2 linked regions of the Styela clava genome follow. The protein of the gene in region 1 purifies or fractionates together with the protein of each later gene. This does not show direct contact. Links are inferred from orthologs where the notes say so. Each region holds a gene or a part of one and is shown in the gene's direction. Other genes may lie near its edges. The genes, in order: RISC-loading complex subunit tarbp2-like and protein argonaute-2-like.

Evidence for each region.
Region 2: the proteins of RISC-loading complex subunit tarbp2-like (region 1) and protein argonaute-2-like purify together in Drosophila melanogaster (affinity purification with western blotting; 4 studies listed by BioGRID, with this or other methods). This does not show direct contact. The link is inferred for Styela clava from reciprocal best matches to the Drosophila melanogaster genes loqs and AGO1.

The regions. Positions count from the first base shown.
Region 1 is NC_135259.1:11,926,257-11,934,469, reverse strand, and holds the start of RISC-loading complex subunit tarbp2-like, read left to right. Parts: upstream 1-5,086; 5' UTR 5,087-5,372; coding exon 5,373-5,377; intron 5,378-5,735; coding exon 5,736-5,859; intron 5,860-6,352; coding exon 6,353-6,554; intron 6,555-7,042; coding exon 7,043-7,137; intron 7,138-7,682; coding exon 7,683-7,800; intron 7,801-8,127; coding exon 8,128-8,213. Other genes in the region: uncharacterized protein LOC120338264, read left to right, coding at 275-535, 1,003-1,543, 1,918-2,169.
Region 2 is NC_135255.1:14,041,417-14,048,608, forward strand, and holds the start of protein argonaute-2-like, read left to right. Parts: upstream 1-3,968; 5' UTR 3,969-4,056; coding exon 4,057-4,180; intron 4,181-4,556; coding exon 4,557-4,752; intron 4,753-5,184; coding exon 5,185-5,305; intron 5,306-6,549; coding exon 6,550-6,731; intron 6,732-7,116; coding exon 7,117-7,192. Other genes in the region: uncharacterized protein LOC120331088, read right to left, coding at 749-899, 1,217-1,301, 1,458-1,557.

The DNA.
Region 1 (8,213 bases):
ACGTGTCACGAAATTAGCCTTGTATTTGTTTCCGGAACTCATTTACAATAAAATGGATGCATTGAGAGTGAATAATATATCTTGTATTATTTGTGCTAAATCTTAATGTTATTTTTATGGTTTCAAAACCAAAAATCCATAAATATTTATTGTTAAACCATAAAGAACCCAAATTTCAATAAGCAAATTTTGCACTATATATATTATGAGAAAAGTGCAGTTCATTCAACTACCACTTTCTATGAAGCAAACAAGTAGTTTTTGTGATTTATAGGACCACTTACTTGGAGATCACTGATTCAAAAAGGAGTTACGGCAAAGTATGTGCAAACAGTCTTCCAGAAGAATTCATTAGCTATTCAAACGAGTTGAATGTTCATTTAGTGAGTGAAAAGGGCAAAGGACGCTTCATTTTTAATTACACAGAAGTATCTTCCCAAAAATCAGAACCTTTGAGATTGGAGCTTCCAAGCAATGAAGCAACTTGGTCAGCAGCAAAAATTTTGTGTGAATCAAATAAAAAGTCGTTATGCAGGTAAGATTGGATGTATCTACAATATAACTTCAAATCAAATTAAAAAAGTTTCATAGGTATAGATTATGAAACACAAGCTATTTTTTAAAGGTCCAAACGGCTTTCTGGAATGATGACAAACATTTGAAGTTTTCTGCATCGCATGCAAAAAAACATGCCCGTTTGTTATGTATTGCCATTAAATTAAAGTGAACTTATATACATAGAGGCGATACGCTTGCATTAGGCACGTATCATCTGTTACTTACACTTTTAAGGGAGTTTTGTATTGACTATTTACTTTTAAGAGCTCATATTTTTAGTCTTTCCGTTCAAAAATCGTAGCTCAGGTATTTAGGCCTATTTTTTTTTCGCGTCTCCCTTCTGAAAAGCTATTTTTTATTCTACTCGGCACTGCATATGTAGACTACATTGCATATACTTTCAGTATTCGTGAAAAAATAAACTACTGACTGATTTATTTTCAGGAAAAGGGATCTGTGTCCTTATGGCATGCCATTCGGAGGAGAAGCCTCGAATACGACTTGGGTGGCTGTTTCTGATGAATACAACGATTGGATGAAACTGGGCCCTTATGACGTTTGTAAATCATACGTGAAAACCTACGGTCCGCCAGAATGGGGTGAAAAAGTCATAGAGGACTGTGAACCGTTGTATTATGATGGCGAAACGGACGAATGTCTCCTTAGTCGCAAAGTTGTATTTTGTTGCGATCGACCAGAGGGTGAATCAGAGAAAGATTTGCTCGAATCGGTTCGTGTGAATGTCGGGTATGCAAAATGGCAGGATAATCTTGTTTACTTTTTTCAAAGAGGCAACGTTTGGGAATCTCCAGAATACCTGGCTAGAGTGGGTGATGGATATGATTACTATCACGACTGGGATTACTATGGTGAAAGAGAAAAGGTGTACCCTTATAAGCTTATCAGTGAAAATACAAACGCAAGACCAGGCACAGTCGATTACTTCATTATGTCAGCCAAATACGAAGAAACCTATTTTAACCAGGTTGGTATTTTTATCAATTACGTAGTTGGTGCAAAATTGGTAGTCGCATATGAAATGAATAGTAATTAGGCGCCATCCACTGCAGGAGAATATTGCAGCTAGGCCCAGGTCTTGTTTCGCTCGTACAATAGGCGCTAAATCCGCGTTTCAGACAAGCTTCGAGGCTTGGAACAATATTGTATTAACAAGCATCATCATACAAAAACCTTTCCTGATAATATATATATATATATATATATATATATATATATATATATTATCATTTTTTTACTTAGACAATAGTATATAACCGTATTAAATGGCATCTATTTAGGAATTTATTTTTATTTTTTATATGAATTTATTTATTCACGTCTTTGTTACTACAAAAATAGGTTATTTATTTCTGCTGGAAAGAGGGATCAATACACAGCGAAATAAGAAGGATTTACAAAATGAGTATGAATAGTTGTGAAGCAGAAGACGACTGGAAATTCGACTTCTTTTTGTACGCAGGCCGCAATAAATCAGAGAAGACACCGACTGCTTTACACATAGGCCTAACAAACTCAACGACTGGCTCCTTTTGCTGTGAAAATAATGCACACAATTTTACCATTTTTGTTATTTCTTCCTCAAATGCTTAAAACTGGAATATTTTTGATATTATTTACTTTACGATTGAAAAAACGTTTTAGGCCATACTTCTGCAGAATGATTATACAAATAATTAATTATTCGATTATCATATCAATTCTGAAGTGTAATAAAAATTACATTATACCTCTGTTGGAGTTTTGTTTTCAAATACTCGGGTATGATCATTGACGCAATATAGGCTACATGAATTTAGAACTATTGTGTAGCCGTCATCATCGCCTATTAGTATGTCAAAACCATGTATATCATATGCATGGTCAAAACAGGCTTGATTTATTTATCTTGTCCACAGACCGTGGATGATTGTCATGTCGACAATAGGATTTGCGTTCCGACGGAAAGTGGAATGATTTTTTAGGAGGCGCGTTCACTACAAACAAGGTTCTGTAAGTACCAAATTAAGTCAAAGATTAAGAAAAATGAGGTAGTCAAATGAGCATGTTTGTAATTTATATAGGATCCGGGAACTATCATCTAATTTTTACCACTTTTGTAGAGTCTAAACTAGGGCAAAATTCATTAACCGTACTGGGTTCAGACGTGCAAACCCATGTAGGGTAAGCAGAGGTGCGATACGATAGCATGTGTCTATTCCTCAATCCTCAGCAAAAGAGGGTAGCATCACGTTCAACTCACAGCGTTTCTGGTAAAAATTCAAGTGCGAAAATACGATTGAGAATTTCTATAGGTACCGTACCGTATTATATATACCGGTATATATTTGTCTGCACTTAGCTGAAATACAAATCATGCAATCGTATTCTATTATAAATTATTTTAACCAAAATCGGAATTCAAATTTTATGTGAATACGCTCGCCACCGCACCTCTAATTACTCTGCGTGGGTTTGCAGGTTCGAATCCCATGCAGGGATGGTTATGTGCGAGAGGATCGCTGGACTCCTCGCGTCGTTGGGTGGTTCACGTAACCGCTGTTCGGTTACGGCTTCCTCCACCACCAAGTCCATGCTTCCGAAAACAAACAGTATAACTATTCCCATACCCGACTTGGAATGGTAACCGGACGAGAGGCCGTGTTTCGCCATATGAATAAGCCGTCTTATCGGCTTTCCTCTCCCCGGGATAAATATGTAAATCCTATCCTAATTATATAAAACTAATAAATTCCTCAAACCTTTCTCTCAAGCAGTCTGGTCCTAAAGAGTGCCAGGGAACGACCATCGATAGTACGACCACAGAGAATGATAGAATAGGATTTACATATTTATCCCGGGGAAGAGAAAAGCCGATAAGACGGCTTAACCATATGGCGAACCACGGCCTCTCGTCCGGTTACCATTTCATGTCGGGTATTGGATTAGTTAGTTATTTGTTTTTGGAAGCATGGACTTGATGGTGGAGGAAGCCGTAACCGACCAGCGGTTACGTGAACCACCCTACGGCGGCGAGAAGTCCAGCAATCCTCTCGCACATGACCATCCCATGGGATTCGAACCTGCGAACCCACGCAGACATAACTCATAATGTTGACTCTCCGTGGTACCACGGGCGTTAAGCACACAGAGAGAGAGAGAGAGAGAGAGAGTTTATTTCATTTTGTCAAACCAAGTAAACAATTTATGCACACATGAGCAAATATTTAAAAAAATAGTTTTCGGTATATGACTGGGGGGCAACGATACGACCTTTGGGGGTCATCAGAGTCAGTTGCCACCCAATTATATTAAATAAGCATAAAAATAACAGATTCGTGTCAATATATCAATGTCTCTCACGATTTATAGTATATATGTACAATATTTACATGAATTTACTATTTTCAATTATGGAAGCATTCTTTTAAATAGTGGGATTTTGCACAAATTGAAATTATATTGCAAAAAATAAAATGATCGAAACGAAAAAAAGTGGGAAAGCAGTTCAGACAAGCTACCCCTTATTTGGGTAACTTGTTTTATTGAATGAATTTAAGTTAAACATATCAAGTGGGATTTTGAACAAGCAAATAGGGGTAGAGTTCTATTCTACATACACTAGTGCAATGTAATCAGAAGCATGGGTTGAGTCATCAAAACAAATTAGAATTTGGTTTAAATAACAAAAAAATGCATTTCAAAAATGCAATACATTGTAAAGTTTGTATAAACAAACAATCGATACTAAAATATCAAGAAAGTTAATGCAAAAACAAAACAGTTGACTTAATGTAGGAATAAATAAGCGTATAGAATAAAAAACAGCTGAAAGAAAAAACCCGTTACAAATGAAATAGATATTATTACTTTATTATTACGATGACTGCTATTTTATTTTGGTTGACGAAATAATAAATCTCTCTCTCTGTATATATATATTATAGAACAGTGGGGGACACAAGTGTGGGGTCTTATGTAGTTTCGTACCTATCATACTTCTGGTGGGCGTATAGTGACAATATTTGCACGTGTCAATCCTAACCCCCACATGCCCATGCCATCCAAAAATTACGTCTCTACGACGTCACAGTGACGTGAAAGAGCCCTTCAAACTATACGAACTGTCAGCCAAGACGCGCTCGTCTGCACATCTGAAATCGAAGGGCTACTTCTCTCGTTTTTTCGTCTCGACGATCCCAATATGAGAGAGATCGCTGACTTTAGTAAGTTCTTTATCGTCGAAGCCGATGCCATTTCGGGCGATCGTACGTTTATTTGACAAGCTCTATGACAGTATGACGTGTTGTGATGTTGCAGGGACGTGATTTTTGGATGGTATAGTCAGGTGGGGTTTAGGATTGATATGTCAAAAAAATGTGATGCTACGCCCACTAGAAGTACTGAAGTATGTTAGGTATGAAACTACACGAGACCTCAAGTGTGGAGACTTGAGAGTCTTGGCCGCCGATCCATGGAAGTTTGATAACTAGACTATTGGTGAAGATTGGATTTGTTTGTTAGTTTTCGAATAACAGATTTGACATGGGTTACATACGGTAATCGTGCTTGAGCCACTGTCTGACTGTGGTTGTTGTTTTGCTGAAGCCCCTACGTTTCCCCAATTGCATATAGGTTAATTTTGCGATTCTGGATGAAATAATAATAGTATACAGATATAGTGACGCATTTATAATTAATTCTGCAGATAAAAAGTTAGGTATTTGACTCAGGCGAGTTGACAGTAAATTGGATATTTTCTAGTATAAGTACTCTCGGAGTTTTTGCTTTAAGTTCAAGAGTATTTATAAAAGAAAATGAGGTAAGTTAACTAAATTTCTGAATTTTGTAGTTTGCCAAGTAATTTTGCTAGTTCTTGCCAACTTGAGCAATGCAATAATAATACATTGTTGTTGTTTTTTCTTTAAGTAAAATTGCAGCGTGGAGATATTCAATGCAAAAAATTAGGCTTCGGTTTAAGGTAAGGATTTATGTGCATAAAAATCCGGCATTGTTCAGTTATCGGCAAAAAATATTAAAACATGATTATCGATTTAGTTGTCCACCGATTTGAAGTTTCCCAAATTTAACTTTATTGTATTCTATCTGTAACAAACTTATCATTTGTGTTATATAGACTACTGATTAAAATTTTTTACATTCTGTTTTCTGAATCATAGCCTTCACTCGCCAACTATTGTGCCGCAGAACAACATCACTGCAACTACGAGATCACCTACCAGTCCGACATCAGCAACAGGTTCTGCAGCATCACCTTCCAAGACTCCGATTTCATCTCTTCAGGTTTATTTGTTACTTCCATGATTGGATGGATTCTGTTACTGTTTAATATGAATTTAATCATATATGACTACCACTTTTTGAAATGTTTTGAACTATGTTATTTACAAACTGAAACAAATGTTTTCTATCTATTGGATATGCAATCTCAAGATAATAACATGTGAACTGACAAATTTGGAACTTTTTTCCTAAAATTCTCCTCTGTTAGAAATATCACATCTTCCTCATACTGCCATAGCAGGCTTATTTAAATGGAGAACAACTGTCTATGTTACCATTTCATGTTGAGTTTATTTGTTTTAGACCCAGTATATTGTTTGAAGCCAATTATGGTTGATGACTTTTAATATGCGTAATTTTTTGTTGGCACCTTTTTCCTCATTTTTAGTTATTGTCATTAAGTGCTAATGAATTTTATTTAGCTTATAAATCTGTACCAAAAGTCTCAGCCTGTATTTCATGAAGATTCTAACTATTGCCATTCATATAACAGGAAATATGTCAGAGAATGGGGAAGACACCTCAATACGATCTGACAGCCATGGAGGGACGGGCTCACCAACCCCAATTTGTGTATCGATGCACAGTTGGTGATATCATGAAGACTGGACAGGGTGGTAGTAAGAAAGCAGCTAAACATGCAGCTGCGGAAGCTGTACTTAATTCACTGAAAAATGGTGGGGATGCTGATGAAGGTAAAGTTTCGTTTATGAATCATCCGTTATGAGTTATTATTTCATGAATGTAGAAATTAAGAAATATTAAAAAGACAGCCGATTTATAGTTCAAATTCAAGATTATATAAGCCTAGCTGTTGACGCATCGGACTAAGCGATAATAACATGCCATTTCTGATTACCCTGTATGGGCTTGAATCCTGTGGAAGACAATTATGTGTGAGAGGATTGTTGGATTCTTCTCTTGCATAGGATGGTTGTTAAGGGCTTTCCACCACCATCAAATCCATGTATCCGAAACAATTATCAAATTAATTATGTACATACCAGACATGGGCTGGTAACCAGACTAGAAGCCATGGTTCCATGTGATTGAGTTGTTTTAATGGCTCTTCCACAGCACAGATATGAAAATCTTATAAAATAACTGAGGCTTGTATATGTCATGTAACATAATCAAGGTACCTCGAATGATTGAAGAATTTTGGTTTGTTTTATTTTTACAGCAGAAGATGAATCGCAGAATCAACAAGAAGTTCCTGAACAGAAGATTGAAGAACTATCTTCACAGGAGAGTACTAACCCTGTGGGAACATTACAAGTAAGAGAGTAAATTTCACAGAAAGGGTCTTAAGATTATGGGTCTCGACCCAAGTCTTTGCAAATCTTAAAGTTCGAGTTTCAAGCTGGGCCGAGTCACAAGAGTAGGTTTTATAGCAACATGGATAACTCAATTTTTTGTTTCTATTTTCGCAAATTATTCTTGAGTCTCAAGTCAAGTCTCTCGGGTGGTTTGTTGAGTTTTGGGGAAGTGACTCTAGTCTTCGAAAGGGGTGACTTGGAGAATCTCTAACCCTGGTATATGATAATTCTAACATCATTTTGTTCCTTTCTCCCGCCCACAAAGCTCTAAGCATACAATCAATTATTGCCCTTACTTGGTATCTCACTCTGCTCTTTGCATCTTTTTTTCTATTCTGTTCTGTTTTTGAAGGCACCTGTGACTTCACCTTTGGTACAACTGTATAAAAGTAACTCTGAAATTGTTTACGAAATACTGGTAAATAATATTTGTGTAATAAATAGTTAGTATTTGTTGTTTTTTAACGTAAACAAAATAGCATCATAATATGAATAATATTTCAGGAATTGGTTGTGGCTAGAGGGTGGAGGCTTCCAGTATACTCAATGTACGCAGAGTCTGGTCCTGCTCACAAAAAAGAATTCATCATGTGTTGTACAGTGGAATCATTCAAAGAATATGGTGGGTATAACATGTGCATGCTAGATAACACATTAATAGTTACTGAATACTAGGAAATAAAAATGGGAAATTGAATTTATAAATTGGGTCGAAATTGATTTGCATATTGCTGGACTGCACAAGTAGGCTTGTACAAAGAGTATTCATAGTGATCAACCATGTTTGTCCAGACTATGTGTTTTTCGAAAAAAATGATCATTTTAAAAAGAAGACCCGACCATGGATAGTTTCAAACGTAGTAGTATGTTTTGGGTTCATGATGTTGAACGAGATAAATGTAAAAGCATATCAAGTGTTGTATGATTTTCACTGTCTTCCGTATTTTAGGCAGTGGAACAGCGAAGAAGCATGCAAAAAGGGCAGCAGCGACAAAAATGTATGACAAGATAATGGCATTACCCGCTGATGCTAAA
Region 2 (7,192 bases), on another chromosome or scaffold:
GGAAATGTCAGAGGACTCGCGATAAGTGAAGCATTGCGAAGGGCTGACACTATATTATTGACAATAACCATCCCTCAGAACTTCAAAACAACGTGTATCAGACCCATAACGATGGGTTCTCAATCCAGAATACCTTGAGTTATATGTTATAACCACAACAATATCTAATTTTTCACAAGTCGCAGTATACTGTTTCAATTTGCATGATATATACTTCATGAAATTAACAAGAATCCTCTGTCTAATTATTCGTGAAGTCGGCTTTTATCGTGTATGAAGAGATTTAGCTAAGGAGTTCTCATATGTCCACTTGCCACTTCAATACGCGCGTTTGTCATTGCTTTAAGTTTAAAGTATAAACCATTCAAGACTGAGACTTGCATTCGCATAGCTATTGCACAATGAAGTGGGATGTAAATGAGCTGAAAACAGTTTCATGTACTATCGGAGGGAAGACTCTATAATGATGTTTACCACACTGGCGCTGATTTATAAAACATCAGGCCTGAATCTTTTACTCTGTCGAAAATTGTAACGACTGAAACCGTAACTACTATTCATATTTGCATTTTAGATCAGCAATTCTTATATTTCATGAATTTGACATAAGCTCTAAGATACTTGTCAGTCCGAATATTTTAAATAAATCTTTCGTATATTTCAATTGAAATAAACTCAATTTTTATGCTCACTTCATCAATTCTAAATCCTAAATAGTGTTGTATAAATATGAAAAGGCCTGACGATGTCAATATTGCTGAACGTAATCAATGGACGAATAACGATTGCTTATCTTAGCGCTGTAAGTTTTATTTTCCTGATGCGGTTCGCACTTTTCATCTTTCGATATTGCATTCGTAGAATTGTCTTGTTTTCTTTTCTCAAGTTTTGTTTGGGACCTAAAAATGTCAAAAAATACAAAATTAAAGGCCCTGGTAGCGATTTCATGATTACCCGCTGACCGATATCGATAAAAATTTTCATGTTTTAATAGATTGCCCATTTCCAGTCAGCACGTTATTTTGGATAAAACCCCGACAAACAACATCATAAATGCAAGATCGGTTGTACTAAATTTATTTTAACTTTTCACCTTCTGGCGATAAACGCCAGAAGGTTTTTGTTTACAAAATAGATGACATCTACTTGAGTTCACAGCAGTATATTCTGCTTCACAAACAAGTTCTGTGCTTCAAAAGTGGAGGGTTAATTTTACCTATTGAAAAGAGTGGTAGTTGGTGTGGCAGTATCCCATCGTAAATCTTCAGCAACGCTTGCTTTTTTTAGCTTTTCGTATGGATCTGTAATAGAAAAGTAACTAAAACAACAATTATCCATGTTTTAAATGATCTGTAGCGCTTATTGCGGTTTGAATAACATTTATGCGGTTAAATATTAGTTAGATGTCGCATTATTGAGCTTAAGTATGAGGTTTAATTATAGGTATTGATAAAAACCTGGTGCTTCATCGGGGATCGGGTCACTTTTGTTGCGCTGTTCCGCTTTCCTATCGATCACCGCTTGCTTTCGGCGAGCCTCCCAATGAAGGGCAGACATTTTCTAATTCTAGTTTTATGACAATTAATAACAAAAAAAGTTTGTAATAGTTTTGCATTGAAATAATACGTTATTCTTACGTCATAATGATAATATCAAGTGAACAAGATTGAAGAATGAATCAACAACCTGGCGTTTACTTACAGTTAGTTTGCGGTATTGCTTCATTTTTTCCTTACCATCGGCATTTGATTGAATTACTTCAGAAACACAATTATCAGAAGTTAATGTAAATTATATGAATAAAACTAGGCAAATGAAACGCAGGGTGGCTCCGGAAATGAAAAGGTTAACCAGCAAGAAGAACAACAACATTTTAACAAAACGATACACAGTTACACCTTTTTTCAAAATAAAATTAGGTAACGCAATGGTGAGGTGTATTTTTCTTTGGATAAAAATTCGCGGAAATTTACCAGGTTTGGAATATTTGGTGGCGAGCACGAACCGCATCCGCGACGCACGCGCGTCTTGTGGTGTTTCTTTTTTCCTCGCACGGTTCATAGATAATAAAGAAACAAAGAAATTCATCCTTTGTGTTCGGACGCTTTGTCAGCTATCATTCGTTTCAATCGACGTCACCAACGGTCGAGCCAACCCTCAGGGCTGGGCTTCCCGATTTCGATTTTCTTGTTGTAGCGACCGTGCGTTGTCTTACGTATCTTGAGGATTCATAGTTTCGATTTTGTGCGTGCTGTAAATAACATTGTATATAACAGTAATCAAGTATATATTTCGAACAGCTTCCGTTAAACTGTAACAGTAAGGTACCGGTACCGGTACTGTCTGAGTGTACCGCACGGTGTTACTTTGACAGGTTGTCTAGTTGTTGTAAATCTAAAATGGTAAAACGAAACTCTAAAACTGGAGAAACAAGATATATCGCCCAGTAAAAAGAAAAATATATAAACAAAATAAAAAACAAAATAAAATTTCGCCACGCCATATTACAGTATTAATAATTTTGTAAGGATCGCCAAATTCTGAAATTGGATATAACAATTTTCTGGCAGTCTAGATTTTAGTTCAGAAGTTGAAAGTGATAATAACCTGACATTATCTACGGAGTTATCTTTTGCTGACTAATTATTATTTCAGTCAGTTTTTATGTACCATATTATTGTAACTGTATTCTGGTATTAGACCAGTTACTGAGTTACCAATATGAAGCTGTAAATAGTTTTGAGAAAATGTAGGCTAGTATGAAATAGATTGATGAATGTCTGAATGTGGTTTTGGTAATTAGGATAAATACAATTGCCCGAAAATGCAACTTCTGAACTTTAAAATTTTTCTTTTAAATCAGGCCTCAGTCTAGTCCCACATGTCTGGCTGGCTTACTAATTCAGTACGGCACAGCTCTCCGATACCAAGGATAACTTCCACATTAAAAGACGTCAATTATAACTGCGATTGCAAACCTCTTCTCTACCAGACAGTCTCGGCCTCCATACCGACAACAAACGGAAAAGAAGCTCAATCAAAAAATGTCACTATTGGATTTTTTGGAAAAAAGAATCTGATTTACCATAGGTTAAAAAATAATTTTACAGTAGCATTCAACAGTTTTTAGCAAAAAAGCAATTTCGGTCATGTGACAGCCACGTCGTGATTAATTTAGATTATCATTGAGACAAGCACGGTGTGATCTGCCGTCGTGCCATACGCCCTCATTTCAGAGACAAATTGAGCGTTTGTTTTATTGAATGTTGGGACATCTTGGAATTGGAGAACTGTGACCTACTGTAATTCTATAATTAAAATTTGCTATAAACTGATATCTGGATATATTCAATTCAAACAGGCAATCTGATTCTGTAATTCAAATGAAGTCAAAAAGCAGAGATGTGGTATAATTCGTTATTTGGTTTCAGAATTATTCAATGGCCATGGCTTCATCGTAAATGTCTCAGGCTGCTCTTATCATCATCTCATATTTGCATATTATGTCATTCCAAATCTTCATCTGATCTGACTTCGTCATCCAAAAATAACGTTACTATACAGACAGTCGTCCAATACACGCAGACGATCACCCGGAATCGAGCAAGCTATGTCGTATACACAGCCAAATTCTCTTTCTTTTTCTCATTGTAACTATCCCGATATGCGACAGGCCGCTGGGCGGCTGGCGTTAGTGAGATCATTATCATAGACGCAGACCATTTGAGCGATCTTTGGCAAGCTCTGACTTGATCATGACATAGTGATGTATTTCTTGGTTGGCGTAATCAGATGAGCGTTAGGAATAACATATGCAAAAATGGTTATGCCACTAAACTAAATTAGACCTATCATAGTTCTTAGTCCGATATAACGTTGATAAGAGAATGCATTAATATAATTTACTTATACTAACTTTGGTACAGTAATTGTATCTGATTATACTTCTGGTACAAATACAGAACTGAATTGTGTTTTACAGCAAATTTTATATTATTGGAATATTTTAAATTTTACCTCAAAAAAGCAACTGCTCAAGCAGTAAAAGACTGCAAAATGTTCACTCCTCAGCAGTCATTTAACCCACAATACCAACCCACGACAGCAGGAACACAGCAACAGCCCCCTACACCAGTTGCTGCTGCTCCAACTGCAGTTACCCCTCCAGTCAGACCTGCAGGTAAACAGTTTCATTTCAAATATTATTCAATACCTTATGCTTACATTTTTCAGATTTGTCTTATCTGATGTGTCCTAATTTAGGTTATGTTTGACTGAAATATTATAGCAGTTTAATGTACATTTATAAAATTAACTGGATACTTAATTTTATTTATTCTCGCAGTTATAAGAAGTCGAATATGGTTTATTTATTTTGTCTGAATTAAAATGTTTTTGGTGTCCCATGTGATCATATTTTCTAATAAAATTGTTTTCAATTTACTCCTAAAAATAAAAAAAATTGGAAATATATACAAACGTTCAGATTGTGTTTCGTCTTTCTTTTTTCTAGTTATGTCTTTATTTTATATTCAAAATAACGCTTATTTTTGTAGTTGGGGATCCAAGGTTTCCGATTGTTGGTACGTCAAAAGCCATAGACTTCCAAGCACCAGCCCGTCCAAATGTGGGTCAGATTGGAAAACCAATCTGGCTGAAAGCAAATTATTTTAAAGTATCCATTCCTAATGGAGATATTCATCATTATGACATTGATATCCATCCAGACAAATGCCCAAGGAGAGTAAACAGGTAGTTAATTGAGCGTATATTTTTTGATTTTCTTATTTTAGTGAAGATAGAAGAGTGCCAATTCTAGCATTAAATTTTGGTATTTAAACTTCTGTTGTTGTTGTTTTTTAATTAAAACAATTTTTCAACTCAACCTTACTCAGTTTTACATGTTTTTTTTTTTAATCATAATTGAAGCTATAAGAAATTTCGAATATTTGCTTTATTCTTCTGTTATACTGATCAGTATTCAGAATTCCTCTTAACGATTTGCTTGTTACGGTAATTTTTCTTTGTTATAGATTTGAGGTTTTACAGAAACTCAATATTAGATGAAAATATAAGTATTTTATATAAGTCCATAGTATTGATAGTTGATATTATATTATCGAGTTTCCGTAAAACCTCAAATGTTTTATTGAGTATTCTTCATTATGCATTTTCAACTTTCAGAGAAATTATTGAAACAATGGTGGGAAATTATCGTACTGCAATCTTCCAAGACAGAAATCCAGTGTTTGATGGCCGTAAAAACCTCTACACAGCACAGCCACTGCCTATTGATAATCAGAAGGTTCATACATTTTTTTTTTCATTCAAAATATATGTATAGAGTGAATATGAAACCACTTTCATAAGTTCGAAATTCTTTGAATATTTAAATTATTTATTTGTTGGGACATTGAAATTTCAACAATATGTGTTGGGTTTCTGGGTTCTAGTTAGTATTATGATGTTTTCAAAGATTATGGACAATGGAGAGTTGTATTTAAATACCCATTTTATCGTATAATATTATAAAATTACTATGTTTTTGAATCTGAAGTATTTACACGATGGTAAACAATTGAAACATTGCCCTTTTTCACGAGCATTGCGTCAGAATTCGAATGAGGAAGTGTCTGCTTTTGTGTTTATAGCATATGCTGAATGTGAATGTTTACTCCAGTATCGGTTCTCTAACATTTTTTTAGAAAAGCCCCTTGTATTTATCAATGGTGAAAATGCCAGCACATAAGCTTGTCTTTTATATATTGTTTTTTCAAGAATTTTCGTATTCTATGATATCATCAACTAAAATATCTTGGGAATCGGGTCAAAATAAACCTAAAACATTGTCTGATTTTGTTTTCTCTTATTTGGTTGTGTGTCTATGACTAAGTAGTCATAGCGCATGGGGTGTGATTTTATTGACATTTTAGAAATTAAAATACAGACCGAATATTAATAATTACTTGTGTGCTAGTCGGTAATGGTTTGGGCCCTGATATTTAGGGTGTTGTTGCTGTTGTTACCACCATATTTATAATTATTATATTTGTTGGGAAACTTGCAATATCAAACAATCTATCGTAATTTAATTCAGTCAAAATATTTCGTCATGTGTCTTAAATCTGAATAGATTATTATCTATTCTATATTACTAGTTACATAACTGCTCAAAAAATGATTTTATCTTTACCGAAAATCAAACGAATAAAATATGACTTAATAATTTTTAAGATTAGTTAGATTACCTGAAAATTTTTAGCATTGGCACATAACTGTATTGTAATTTTTACTCTAAAGTACTTGACCACACCAATTCTACATGACTTCTGCTGATCAATATTATCATTATCAATCATATTCATGGGATTAAAAGTGCTGATGTGATCATGTGACTGACAGTGCATAGATCTTCATTGTTAGATCCTATATAAATGAATATTGTCAATGAATCTTTATTGATCATCAAGTTTGAACTATTATTACCTATTGTAATATACAAGGGTGACTTTGAAAGCATCTAATATTTCTTTTACTTTTTGTTTATAGCTTGAAGTGGAGGTGACATTACCTGGGGAAGGCAAAGATCGTACTTTTCGGGTTGCAATAAAATGGTGCGCTCGTGTATCTCTCTATTCATTGAAATTGGCATTGGATGGAAAAATGCATGGGATTCCATTTGAAACTGTGCAGGCGTTAGACGTTGTCATGCGTCATTTACCTTCCATGAAGTGAGTGTACTTGTTCTTTTATTTGTGCGCATACATCCATAGCAACATGAAATTGTCTATGGTTGTTTGGGATGGATATTATTAAAACTTGAGGTTTTCATTTTATTTGTCTACTCTGTCTAACTAAATGTTTTATTATGTTCCAATTTGTTAATATTTAACAATTGTGCATACCAACTGTCTGCCTGCTTTTAAAGTAGTTTTGACAGATTTTCAAAAATTAGTCATGTAAATCATGTTTTTGAACGTTTCAGTTTTTAGCCATTTCTCATGACAATTCATTATTCACCTCTTTGGCCTCAAAAGAAAGTGCAAATTGCTATCATTCATTCTACCTTTATATTTCCGTATAAGATAATTTAATAAATACTGCATTTTTTTCTAGATATACACCTGTCGGTCGATCATTCTTTTCATCTCCAGAAACATCAACTCCATCTCTTGGACATGGAAGAGAAGTT